Linked DNA regions of Stegostoma tigrinum. The protein of the gene in region 1 interacts with the protein of each later gene in a pairwise test. Links are inferred from orthologs where the notes say so. Each region holds a gene or a part of one and is shown in the gene's direction. Other genes may lie near its edges.

The links.
Region 2: the proteins of alpha-1,6-mannosylglycoprotein 6-beta-N-acetylglucosaminyltransferase B (region 1) and pitx1 interact in a two-hybrid assay, tested with the Homo sapiens proteins (2 studies listed by BioGRID). The link is inferred for Stegostoma tigrinum from reciprocal best matches to the Homo sapiens genes MGAT5B and PITX1.

What each region holds. Positions count from the first base shown.
Region 1 is NC_081375.1:32,599,329-32,606,298, reverse strand, and holds the start of alpha-1,6-mannosylglycoprotein 6-beta-N-acetylglucosaminyltransferase B, read left to right. Parts: upstream 1-3,879; 5' UTR 3,880-4,486; coding exon 4,487-4,569; intron 4,570-6,405; coding exon 6,406-6,533; intron 6,534-6,970. UniProt on the Homo sapiens protein: Glycosyltransferase that acts on alpha-linked mannose of N-glycans and O-mannosyl glycans.
Region 2 is NC_081366.1:31,311,200-31,318,144, reverse strand, and holds the start of pitx1 (pituitary homeobox 1), read left to right. Parts: upstream 1-3,939; 5' UTR 3,940-3,954; coding exon 3,955-3,969; intron 3,970-6,945. UniProt on the Homo sapiens protein: Sequence-specific transcription factor that binds gene promoters and activates their transcription. May play a role in the development of anterior structures, and in particular, the brain and facies and in specifying the identity or structure of hindlimb.

The sequences.
Region 1 (6,970 bases):
TTTACTCTGTGTTTTGCTGAAAAACTTTTTTAAATAAGAAAACTACTCCAATTGCATGTTTCTCAGCTTTCCTTAGTATCCTGAAAACAGCATCTTTTATAGATAAAAACTATTTAACATCTTGATAGTAAGTGGGAAAACATAATCTTTGAGGCCTTGTTTAACTGCATACCTAGAAGCAATGATAAAAAACGTTTATTGTCAGAAACTTGATACTGGAGGAGTCCTGTGGGTGGAATTTTTCCTTATGCATAATGGAGGAAGAAAACATTTCAATTGCAAATTGATCATACTTTAGAATTTCAAAACATTTAACTTTTAAATTAAAAAGTACAATAGTACCACTGCAGCATTTTACTGCAAATGCTACAGTTGGTTCAAATAGGTTAATACGCCATGAATTTCATTGTAAACCATAGGGCCAAACTTTCCTTCTGTCAAACGATGTGGACATTGACAAGTCAGTTGGGAAAATATGACAAATTAGAAAATAAGTATTAAAAAGTCAAGAAAAAGAAATTTCTGTCCAGAACTGGAGATCAGAATTACATGTTGTGCTCTCCAGTGTATCCAGTCATGGTCATTGAAGCTCATGGAATGGTTTTTCCATGTCAGACGTCCTTGCAAGTCATGCCTGTGGCGTTGGCACCTTACCATCCAGATTGCAGATACTACTTGAACCAGAATCTCTGCTTTGGATAACTGGAGGGTGTACTGTGGCTATAGGATGGACAATGGGGATCTACGAAAGCTGAGGCATTGCGCCGAGTGAGAACATGAGGATGTTCCTTAGATGGAACCGTGCCTGCAGTATCATACAGCACAGAAGCATTGACCAAATCAATGTAGGCAGGACATTGTTTGTGAATACCATTCAATGAAATTGAGCTGTGCAAAGTCATCTTTCACTGACTGCAAATGATTTATGCTGCTGAGGCCAATATCCCACGTATAATCATGACTGTAAGCGCAGCTTAAAGTTTTGATCCTTCGATGTGACTCATGCTATTTAATAGATGTTAAGGTTACAAATGAATGGAAGCCTTCGCAACATCCAATGCTCCCTCACTGAATTGTGGTAGCTATGGAAAGGACAGCTATCTTTTAAGGATAGCTTGAACATCTTGTGGTGCTAAGGATGGCTAGTTTCTCTGCCTTCATTCTTACAGTCGCTGCTAAAACTCAATTGACTCACCCTGCTGATAATGAAAGGTAATCAACACTTTAAAGGCATCTGGATGGGTACATGAATAGGAAGGGTTTAAGGGGATATAGGTCAAATGCTGGCAAATGGGATTAGGTCAGATTGGGATGTCTGATCGGCGCAGATGACTGAAAGGTCTGTCTCCATTCTATCTGCCTCTATTTACAAATATGATAATGCATTTATAATAAATATCATGTACGCTATTAATATGCCCTTGTAAGGTCTTGTGCCTTTCACTCCTCTACATCTAGATGCAGGCATGGTGTCTGCAGCTGCAGTGAAGTGACAACCCCTTCTTCCACAGTAACTCATATTCTCAAATGCACTATCGTCTGCACTTCTTATATATTGAGATTCTCCCCCATCACAATAATTGTCCTCTTTGCATCCCAGCCAGCAGCATCCAACCTCCACAATTGACAGCCCAACTTTCGTTGACTTGCAATATTGGTAACCTCCAACTACTGTTGTCGCCCTTTAATGAACTGAGGTCTACACTTGTTAGACTTTCAGATATGGTGATTTGGCTGAAGCACATGCAGTGTGTTTGCCTAGTGAGCTGCTGTATCATATTATGGGTGTGACATTGAAATAACACGGTGCTGTACAGGATCATGTCTATCTTTTTGACTCATCACTTCTTACAACTAGGACAAGCTACCTGGTGTTGTGCCTGCACTAAATGGCAAGGCAAGGCAGAAAAACCATCAGCCTTTAAGTTCAGAATGAGTGGGCAATGTGAAAAGAAAACAAGGCAAGCAATGATGCTGTGAGCTTTTAAGTAGATGCAGAGTGAATGGGGTTTAAGAAAGCAAGCAAGGAACCCAGAGATGTTCCCTGGTTTAATTCATGAGATGGGTGCCTGACTCTGCGCTTTTCAAGCAGCGTTACAGTAAAAATTTGGAGTGCAGAACCATATTGCAAGTTAGTTGGATATGTGCCATGCGGATGCAAAGAGATTGGCATGTGACTGATGCCAACCTCTTTGAATTGGCTACGTGGTGTCGATGCCCGTGGAACACGCCCGGAGATGCAGATGACTGATTCCAAGATGGTGGCCTGGAGGAGCATGCAGGTGATTGAGGTTGCCAGATATCTGTTTCAAAGTTCATGTCAGGAATTGTCGCTGTCTAATTTATTTTCGGCATTTAGGAGAACAGGAAATTGCATTTCAATGAGGTAAGATTAGGTGTGATAGCATATTATCGTTATACAAGGTGACCTGTTGCTGCTCACTAGTATGCTTCTTATGTTGTTCAAAACCTGATTGCAGAATCTGATTCCTTTTTCTTGACGTTGAGGATTTAATTTTTGCTGATCTTGCCATATTTTCCCAACTGTCTTGCCAGTGTTCACATCGTGGGGGAGTTGGGGACTTACCACCTAAATTATTATATTATGAAATAGCAACCAAACTGATTTAATTGGTTTAAAAAAATTCTTAGCATCTAAGTTTGAAATGCTTCTCAGCAAACAATGAAGGGTGGCATGGTGGCTCACACTGCCAGGGATGTGGCTAAAATTCCAGCCTTGGGCAACTATCTGTGTGGAGTTGGCACATTCTCCTCGTGTCTGCGTAGGTTTCCTTCAGTTGCTCTGGTTTCCTCCCACAGTCTATAGGTGTGTACGGTGGGTGGATTGGCCATGCTAAATTGCCCATAGTGTTCAGGAACGTGTAGGTTAGATGGAATAGTCATGGGACATGAAGGTATACAGGGACAGTTTAAGTGGATACGTCTGGATGGGATGCTCTTTGGACAGCCAGTGTAGACTAGTTGGGCCGAATAGCCTGCTTCCACCCTGTAGGGATTCTATGAAGTTTCACTCACTGGCATCCTTTTAATGAGTCCTGATGTGAGATTCACATAAATGAGAATTAAAATTGAAACTTTGCCACCAATAAAATGCAAAATCACATTGGTCAATAATTTCACCAAAAAGCATGCCTTTAAAATTGGACCAACGATAAAAAGGTTTGTTTCTGCTTCTTCATTCAGCCTATATAAGACAAAATTTACACAAGCACAGAAATTCAACGGCTGAACATTACTGCCACCTGCAGTTTTCTCAGAATCATTGACAATTGACAACATAATTCTAAATACAATAGGCTAGCTACCGAGTCTACCATACCAGTAGACCCATGATTATGCTATTGTGGAGTGTGAACAAATATCTGAAGGATCATTTGCTCTTTCCTAACTTCAAGCCAGATCACCATTGAGACAGCATGAGGGTGAGTAAGATACATGATTCCAAATAAGATGAAATTCATGTATGGTGGATTATTCCTTAAAAATTTCAAAAATTTGCTTTGTTTTCTATTATGAGAAGATATTTATGACTGAATCATTACTATATTTGAGATTATGAATATATAAAAGATAATATTAATGGCAATTTCAGATTTTTTCTTGTCTTAAAATTGCTGCCGTGAACATTTATGGCTTCCTGTTTTCTTGTCTTTTACAGAATCTTAGCACTACTCGTAATGTAGAAAACACACAGCACCTGTTTAGGTAAGAATCTATTCAGCTAAAATACAAAGTAATTAATGTAGGAACAAACTATCCCCAGAACACTAGGTGATGCTCTAGCACTGTTGTTGCATCAGGATAATGTAACATCTCATGCTTTGTAAAGGAAATAAAGCAGCTATGATAGAGAGGCTGATGTATTCCAGCTATCCTGGTTGGATTGTGATCTGTCAGTCAGCCTTTTATCCCCAACCCTATTCACTTGTCCAAGGGGTTGAATGCCGAGGTTGTTGGTGGCTGCTTGTACTAGATCTGGCGGTTGAGCAAAAATCAGTATGAATCTCACCCGAGGGACTATGAGGATGCCCTGCCTAAGTGTGTCAATGCAATAGTCATGTGGCTGTGAATAACAGCAAGCTCTGATCATGAGAGGAGGAAATCTTCAAGCAACTAATGTGCTTTTTTTCACCTGCAGTCTCCTTGATTCTTGTTTAACTGTTAATTTTGGATTATCTTCGGCATCTTGTATTCATCACTACTTCCTGAAAAAGTCAACATAGAGCTAGGAGCAGCATCACTTCAGCTTGAATAAGGACTCACTCTGGAGATAGGAAACCTGGCAGATTTGTTTTAAATCAGCAAATCAAAAGTTGTGAATGGATTTTATTTGGTCTGACCTGAAAAAAAATCACCTGATGCCTATTAATTCGGTTCTAAGGACAATATTAAATATTGATTAATTAAATATCTTCAAATTAATCAAGTTTATATTAGATAATATTTATGTTTCACTGACAGAAAGATGTTTTTGCTTTCAAAAAATTCTACAAATTCAGATGGTAAAATAATGGTGAGAAGGTTTCTTGTAACCTTAAGGCCTTTCAGGTAAGTTTACCTTCAAGTTTTGTTTTCAATTACACATATAAAATAATTTAGTATTGATGATTGATATGACTTGTGTGGAACACTTGTGATCAATGCTTGTGTCAAGCAAAACTTACACTTTAATCTCATTGTAACTGCTGCTGGTCTAGATTATATGGTTATGAATCTCAGTTAATGTTTGTCATTTCAGTATAAAGACAGCTTTCCATGCTGGCAACACTTACAGTATTTACGTTTGCAATGCTCTGGGACCACCCTAATTCAAATGATGCTTTCTATTCAATGTAGCAATTGAGTTTGAGATGAATCTATGAGAGGCAGACAATACCATATTCTCTGTTTTTCATTCGTGGAAAGTTACATTTAAAACATAGAGGGTAAGGTGTGGAGTTGTGGCTGATGGGTGCGGGCACCAGGAGACGGCTAGTCACATTGAAATCACTCACCTTCCCACTATGAGATGCCACATGTGTTTCAGAATACATCCTGGTGTGATTGATCTTGTTTCTCCATGCTATTTCCATGGGGTCATGGTGTTAAGTACATGTTCAAGGATATAGCTAGGGCCGGGGGAGGGGATGGAGCTTGACGTTTGTTCAGTAACAGTTAAAAATACAAATCTATAAAATATCAGTGTATGAAATGTTACGTAAATATGTAAACTGATAATCTTGCAAAATCATTAAAACTGAATTTCAGAAAGGGTACATTTTAAAATATTGGTCGTAATTACATTGATATTAATTACAGTAATTTGCATGGCAAAACAAGAATGCTTTCTTCAATTGATGAACTTTGTGAAGCAATTGATTAATCTTGTGTTGCAAATTCACCGCATACAGCTAGGAACATATTCAAAAAGGATGCTCTAGAGTGTTATTGTTATTGTTGAACAGACATTTCTGTTTCTGTGTGTTGATCTGAAATTTAAGAGGACCTGTTTAACAATATCCAAATGATAGAGAAAAAGATGTGTATTTCATATTTAAAAGAAAATGCAGAAGTTGACCTAATTATTATTGCCAGAAATTTAAAATTGTAGAGGCAGGAATTCACTGCTTTTAGGGAAAGTACTTCTGGGAAACAAAATACATAAATAAGAGAATGTTCCTGTACCTTTTGATGACTTTCAGCCTCACGTACTTAATACCTACATATTCTTCAGGAGCTGGACTTGATCTAATTTCATTGTCAACATGTGGTACAGTGACAAAAGTAATAGGATCACCGTTATACCAGAGTCCTTCTAGGGTAGGCATAGAAGCAGACATATGTCAGAATAAATAATTTGGGGATGTGCTGCTACACAATCCCTCTCATTTTTTAAATTGCTCACCTACTTCATCTCCTGCCTGAAAGCCAACAATTAAATGTAGGGCTAGCCTAGAATGAATCTAAGCCTAAACATTGATTAAATAAATGGTACTGTTCATTTATTGCTTAGTATCAAACATAAAATGTGTTTTCTTAAAATATGTTAGAAATAAGTTGCCACCTCAGAAGCATTATGCCAATTTTTAAGATTTAGTATATGTGCATGGACAGCAGAAGTACATCTATTGTTCTTACTACATTATGCCGTTCAGCAGGTCACATAGTACCACCATGCTGTTGAATCCAATTATGAGTTACTAAGTTAGAATGAAGTATGGTCATACTTTTAAGCAAACAGTCAAAGTGTACAAGTGAATAAAGTAAAATTGTAAATTGACAACAGTATACGTGTAATCAAGTATACAATATAGAACACATTATATTTCTAGTATTCTCATATACTAGCTAACTATAAAGCAAAAACTTGTACGTTAGTCTGATATGCTCTCTGCTTGATTCTAGGTTATTTGTGGCTGGAATTGGATTCTTCACCCTCTGTTTTATAATGACCTCCTTTGGCGGACAGCTTACAGGCAAGAGAGTGGGAGACTCACCTTTTGGCATTAGACAATTAGGTAGCAAATCTGAAGGTAAATGTAGCTTTATGTCAAGTGCCATTACATTAACCTATTTACTGCTATCCATCTCTGAAAAAATTAAAAGAACCTGGACATACTCCAGCAAATTTGTCAAACGTGATTTCCCTGTAACAAAATCTTGTTGATTATGTTTTATTGCATTAAGCTTTCGTCAATGCCCTGCCATTTCTTCCTTAATAATGCGCTCCAGCATTTTCACAATGACAGCCATTAGGCTAACTTGACTGTAGTTTGCTAGTTTCTTTTTGGGATTTGGGGAACAAATTCCAGCCCAGAGCCACTGATACTTTTGCCATTGACCATAGGTGTGAACAATCTGAATCTCTTCCCAGTAAAACAACAGTGATCCCTTTGAAAAGGGTGAGTGATCACCCAATACCAAGTAATGCCTTAGGAGTAAGTTGTCTTGATCAAAATGAACAATTTTT
Region 2 (6,945 bases), on another chromosome or scaffold:
AGCAGACGCAGTGTATCACAGTAACAGATGTGCAGGTGAACATCTGCTTGATGTGGAAAGTCTTCTTGGGGCCTAGGATGGGGGTGAGGGAAGAGGTGTAGGGGCAGGCATAGCACTTCCTGCAGTTGCAGGGGAAAGTATCGGGTGTGGTGGAGGGGAGTGTGGAGCAAACAAGGGAGTCACGGAGGGAGTGGTCCCTCCAGAAAGCAGATAAGGGTAGGGAGGGGAAAATGTCTTTGGTGGTGGGGTCAGATTGCAGATGGCGGAAGTGTCAGAGGATGACTGGTGGGATCCGGAGGTTGGTGAGGTGGTACATGAGGATGAGGGGGATTCTGTTTTAGTTGTTCTTGTCAGGAGGGGGCGTGAGGGATGAGTTGTGAGAAATGTGGGAGACACGGTCTAGAGCATTGTCGACCACTAAGGTGGGAGAGTTGTAGTCCTTGAAAAATGAGGACATCTGAAATGTACGGGAGTGGAATGCCTCATCCTGGGAGCAGATGTGGCCGAAATGAAGGAATTAGGAATAGGGGATGGCATTTTTGCAGGAAGGTGGGCGGGAGGAGGTGTATTCTAGGTAGCTATGGGAGTCAGTAGGCTTGAAATGGATATCAATTTCCAGGTGGCTGCCAGAGATGGAGACAGAGGGGTCCAGGAAGGAGAGGGAGGTATCAGAGAAGGTCCAGGTGAACTTAAGATTGGGATGGAAGGTGTTGGTGAAGTGGGTGAACTGTTTGAGCTCCTCATGGTAACATGAGGCCGCACCAATACAGTCATCAATGTAACTGAGGAAGAGGTGGGGTGTAGGGCCAGTGTAGGTACGGAAGAGGGATAGTTCCACATAACCTACAAAGAGGCAGGCATAGCTTGGGCCCATGTGGGCACCCATGGCAACCCCCTTTGTCTGTAGGAAGTGGGAGGAATTGAAAGAGAAGTTGTTGAGGGTGAGGACAAGTTCAGTTAAACAGATGATTGTGTCAGTGGAAGGGGACTGGTTGGGTCTGTGGGACAGGAAGAAGCAGAAGGTCTTTAGGCCATCTATATGGGGAATTCAGGTGTATAGGGACTGGGTGTCCATGGTAAAGATGAGGTGTTGGGGACCAGGGAAGTGGATGTTTTGGAGGAGGTAGAGGGCATGGGTGGTGTCACGGACATTGGTAGGAAGTTCCTGGACTGAGCGGGAGAAAATGGAGTCAAAATAGTTGGAGATAAGTTTGGTGGGGCAGGAGCAGGTGGAAACAATGGGTCGACCAGGGCAGCCAGGTTTGTGGATTTTGGGAAAGAGATAGTGGGGTTGGGGAACCACGAGGTTGGAGGCTGTGGATGGGAGGTCACCTGAGGTGATGAGGCTGTGGATGGTTTGGGAGATGATGATTTGGTGGTTGGGGTAGGGTCATGATCAAGGAGGCGGGAGCAAGAGGTGTCAGAGAGCTGGCGCCTGGCCTCTTGAAGTGGTGATGTTGGTTCACAATTACAGGTAGTTCTGCTATAACGCATGTTTTGTTAATGCGAATTGGCTGTAACACGATTGATGAACTGTGGACGCTGTTTCCATAATGAGAACTTTCTGCAGTACAGTACAGTAATTCCCCAATAACGCGATTTTCTATGGCGATTTTCTTTAGCGTGAGGTCACACAAGAATCCAAGTATGGTGTTCTTGGAGAACTATCGCGTACATGTTCTTCAGGTCTGCAAGCGTTGTCCCCTAGCACACAAAAACGGCAACTGCTGGAGAAACGCAACAGGTCTGACAGCGTCTGTGGAGAGAAGGCAAAGTATTGGGTCACTGGACTCGAAGTGCAGCTTTGTTTTTCCTCCACGGATGCTGGCCGACCTAGTACATTCCTCCAGCATCTTCTGTTTTTGTGTGTTCCAGATCTCCAGCATCCGCGTTCTTTGTTTTATTTTACAGTCGGCCTCCATTCTATTTTGAAAAATAGCATAGTCGAGACCTCAGCTTCAACATCTCATTTGAAACATTGCACCTCTGCCAATGTAGCACTCCCTGAACCCTCCACTGAAAGCATCAACTTGGATAAAGTATGTTCCAATCTTTGGAAGGAACTGATGACATGCTGACTAAGACACAAAAGCACAATCAGTGAGCCAGGGTAACACCTAATTTGTGTTTCTCCATCACACAAAGTATTTACACATACATTTTGATAATTGCATTTCTACTCAAAACAACAGAGTGCTATAATTGATTTTAATGTTTATATACCACACAGACTATGGTTATACTGTAACTAAGAAATCTGCTTAGTAGGAAGATCAGCCAACAATGTAACGTGTGCAAACAAACTGAAAACTTGCATTCTGACTACTTAGGGAATGAAGCTGTGTATACTTGCACACGTGCGCAGAACTCCATTCTCTCTGCCAGTACATTTTTTAACAAACTCAAACAGAAGTATTCACTTCATAAAAACGAGTGTAGAAAATGTACTGGCGACGCAATGGAATACTTGGAGCATTTTTAAAACCTACTTACATGCCTTTGGGATTACATTTCGCTCTGTGTCCAATCCAAAACTTGCGGCTGAATGTCTCACAGCACCGGTTTGCACATTTTCTGCAGACAAATTGGGATTTGACTACAAGTGCTGTCTGCCAGTTGGATGACAGCGACACGCTAAACTTGCTTAATGGGTTGAAGACACGTAATGGTTTCAGCGTTAAAATTAAATTCACTAATTTATTGTAGAGCTGTGTAAAACAATAAAATTGTTCCAGTTGGGTGTTTATAAATAACGAAATGTTTACTGTTTTTCATGATGTAACAGTGTACCTCACAAAGGCCCACGGCACAATCACATAAACACTGGACCCCCACTAAACAATGTGAGAGCGTTTGGGGTGAATTTTACACCCAGGTGTGGCTGGTTTGTTGAGTTCCTTATTCCCATCCGATTAGTGCCTCCGTTCCAAGAAAGGCCCGCTCGCTACGTTGTACGTCCGGACAGTCAGTTCCCCTCCGCAATAGTAAACTCAGAGCGAACGGCCCTGTTTTATCACAGGGGATATGTGACGCGGTGAAATGCTTAGTGAAGGGCTGAAGGGTGAAATATGTATGTGATGCGCTTCTCTCTCTTGGAAATTGTGAAATGAATTAATTAATAATAAACAATTCGCCAGCTGTCACGACTGAATTTGCACCGAAGTGCGTCCTCTGGGCAATTAAATACCAAATAAAAACCGATGTCCTCTTTCTAGGAAAGTTAATGTACCTAATCCGCTTGTTTACAATGTAATCTCTTCTAAAAGATTATGAAAGCAACACTTTAGTTTATATTCCAACATAAACAGATGAAAGGTGCTCATAATTTGCCGAGGATCAAAGGGGCTTAGGACATGACTGTAGTAATTCTTATTGTGAGGGAGGGTCTTGTGCCAATGCCCCAATGGAAGCCAACGAGAGAGGGTGGTCGACCTTAAAGAAGCAGCTTCCTCTGCCTTTACCAACCGTTAGAATTGCACCCATTCTCTCCCAGTTATAACCACTGCCGAGCACAGAGCGCCGACTCATTCATTTGCCCTGAACGAAACAAACATGACATCCAGCTTCTTACATAACCTGTGCTGTGCTTGAGCGCACACACACAGCCCTGGCCCGAGGGTGGGAGGCCTGACGTCACCTGTCAGCCAGGGAGACAGCTGCCGAGGTTCAGGAACGGAACCAAACTCCGGATCGAGTGCAAAGCCAGCCGGCCTCCTGCACTGCGCTGGAACTATGCTTTCAATTCATGCGGAAACAGCATGTACCGAAGACAGCGAAAGCTGCAAGTCATGCACATAAATGGTGAGTCCCCTCGCTCCTAGCTCGCCCGCGTGAAGAATAGAATGGGGGAAATGAAAACACGTGCTTTTGTAAAAACGTTGCAATGTCGATAAATTCAGCTGCTCACCAGCATTTCAAACAGGATTCTCACAAAGACGAGCAGACCAAGGCAATATGATTAAAGGTCAGGTAAAAGCAGCCAGTCAGGCGTATTTATTCTTTACTGTTTGGTTTTCATTCTCTCCCGCCCGCTATGTTATTTCGAACCTTGCGCTTTCCCAGGGCATTTTGTTCGCTGACTGTGGGAATAGAGATTTTGAGGGGGCTTTTTTTTTCACTTAGAACTCTGACGTTGCGGCGGGGTTTGGGGTATTTTCTGTTATTTCACACCGCATAGAAGCCGTGTGAGGGAACCCGACAGTTCCTCTCGAATGCAGCACACCAAAAAGTTTGAAAATGTCATTTCAGCGCGGAAACCAGAAAAAAACTGCAGATGAGTTCCGAGGAAGTTAACTCGAATTTCTCTGCACAAGCGCTGCCAGACCTACTGAGCTTTCCCAGCAATTTCTGTTTTTGTTTCATTTCAGCACGATGTTTGTACATGATGGAGTGAAACCGAGTCCTGGTAGACAAGCGAGGAGTATAAATTAGTCCTCGCCTTCTATCTATTTGAAAAACTTTATAATCGGCTTTTTCTTACTTTACGGTATTTGTTTCTGACCGAATATAACTTCTTGATTTGAGATTTTAAACAATCGAAGTTTTGCTGTCGGGTTATAGAGAGAGAAGGCCCTTTCCTCAGCAGCAGCATTACAGACGCTCTCAGAATGGATCTCGACCCAACCTGCAGAGCGGTTGTTAGCGTGGTTCAACATGTTACTGCAGCGATAAAGTATAGAAAGCGAGCAAAAATAAATAACACGCATAGTTTTTAAATGAAATATGTCGCTATTGGGTTCGGGTAGATTACAGGCAGTCATAGATTCGCACTTGGAAACAAAACAAACCATAAACGCACGATGATAATTATACCTGGGGACAGATCCAACTCGAGAAAACGTTAAGTGACTGGAATCGAAGGCAACCCGGTCCCTAGAAGCTACTGGTAGAGAGATTTGTGTTTCCATCAAAGAACAAGAGAGTGTTCACGCTGGTTCTTTAATGTAAACAAACACTTACTACGTGTTGAGGTAAATAAAACTGTATTTGGCTATAGATTTTAGCAATAATGTAGGCTGTAATGTAAATGCATACGTGTGCGGAACAGCTTTTGGGTGGATAGTTTGCGACCGATAACTTTGTTTACAAAATTTATTTACAAGATTTGCAAGATCAAAATTAGTGGTTTTTATAAATTGGAAACAGAAATTGCCGGAAAAGCTCAGCAGCTTTTCTGCAGCAACTATGGAGAGTAATCAGAGTTAATATTTCGGATCCACTGACCCTTCGCACCCGCATTTCTTTGCTTTTTTTGTGTGTTTTTTATCTTCGGCAACCGAATGCCCCGGACTGGAACGTGAACACGATTTTATTTTCAGTCAGTCTGTGATTTCCTGTTAAGCTAAAGAATTTAGTATGTATCAGCATAACGGCTGTGTCCTAACTCAGTGCCCCTGTGAATGCCAAATGAAATCGAAAGTCCAGTTAAAAAGATAAGTTGGTGACAGTGGAACAGTATTTTCTTTGACAAATGTGATCCTGTGAAAGACAGACCTAGTGAATAATCGTTTAGTTTGTTTAGAGGCCTTACCTGCTGGATTGGCTTTGATTGCAATTACTTGCCCCAGTAGTACCTTTCTACTTCTACAATATAATGATTTGTTAACTGCAATCATTCAGATTCAAACATTGCAGTTAAACTAGCAAAGGTCATTTTCGTCCAACACCTGACTCACTTCACATAGCGAAAAAGGTAAAATGTCCTTCAGATTTTTCAAGACATCCACTTATACAGATTTAGTTTTTTTTGTTACTGAGCCCCGTCCAAATGCTCTCCGTGAACGTAATCTACCAACACCTTACAAGAGACAACCTTGAAAACTGGCTTACCTTGAACTGTGTGGTGCAATAGTCGCCCGTAGGTATGATGTCGAACAACCTTTAAAAGTAGCAATGGGGAGCAATGCGATTTGATCTTTGTACAATGTTCCTGGGCCAGTTCCTAGACACCTGATCGCTGGCAGAGATGAAAATCTTACGAGAGAAGGCCGTACGGGTACGTGTTCGGAGGCGGCGGTATTTAAGAGTGCAGATTTGCACAGAGCAAACCTAAGATAATTTCCAATACGAAATGTTACTCTGTCCAAATCATTTATCATTGCCGAAACCTGATCAATAACAGTTATAGATTGAAATATTTGAGTGAAATTCTTCGGCGTGTTAACGTTGCTCATATAAAGAACTTCAGTATTCTTTGGAGGCTAATCATTACAAATTAATAGATGTCATCCCGAGACCTTTGCTATTTTCTACAGATCTGGCTACATCGTTTGTGTGATGTTGGTGAATTATTTCACGCAGTTTTTCTAATGGATGAAATGTGTATCCAGAATTGAAGTGTCGGGCACAAAGTGGGCACTATGAGCCCGGATGGAACCTCTTTATTTAAAAAAAAGTTTATACACTGTATTGTGAGAAGCAATCAAGTTTCTCCTTACATGGCCTCTGCCAGAGGATTGATTCTCCCTCTACCAACTCAGGACGGAAACGAATGGGAAGCGGGGTGGGGATATGTCAGGAAAATCCTGAAATCTGATCGCCGCCCTTTGCAGAGAGTTCTGCTGATCGTAGTATTTAAGACCATAATTGGAACGATTTGTATGTGGAGTCACAACACGGCCAATTTGAAAATTTTCTCCTTTGGGAATAGATAAATGTTTCAAATACGCTAGTGCTATCTTTTCGTCGGCAAAGGGGAAGCAAACTGTACTTGGGCGAACATGTGTATTCGTTAATATAATCAACAAGCAATGCTATCCGATGAAGAAAAAGGATTTGACAAGCAAATTGCTGACAGAATCAGTGTGTCCCTTGCGCCAAGATTCCGCATCTCGCTTGTCAATGGCAACTCAAACATATAAGGGTCAATGGCTTGACTACTGAACTGATTTGTTAATTAGCTACGAGCGTTAATTTTAGGGAATAAAGAATTTAGATTTTTTTCTG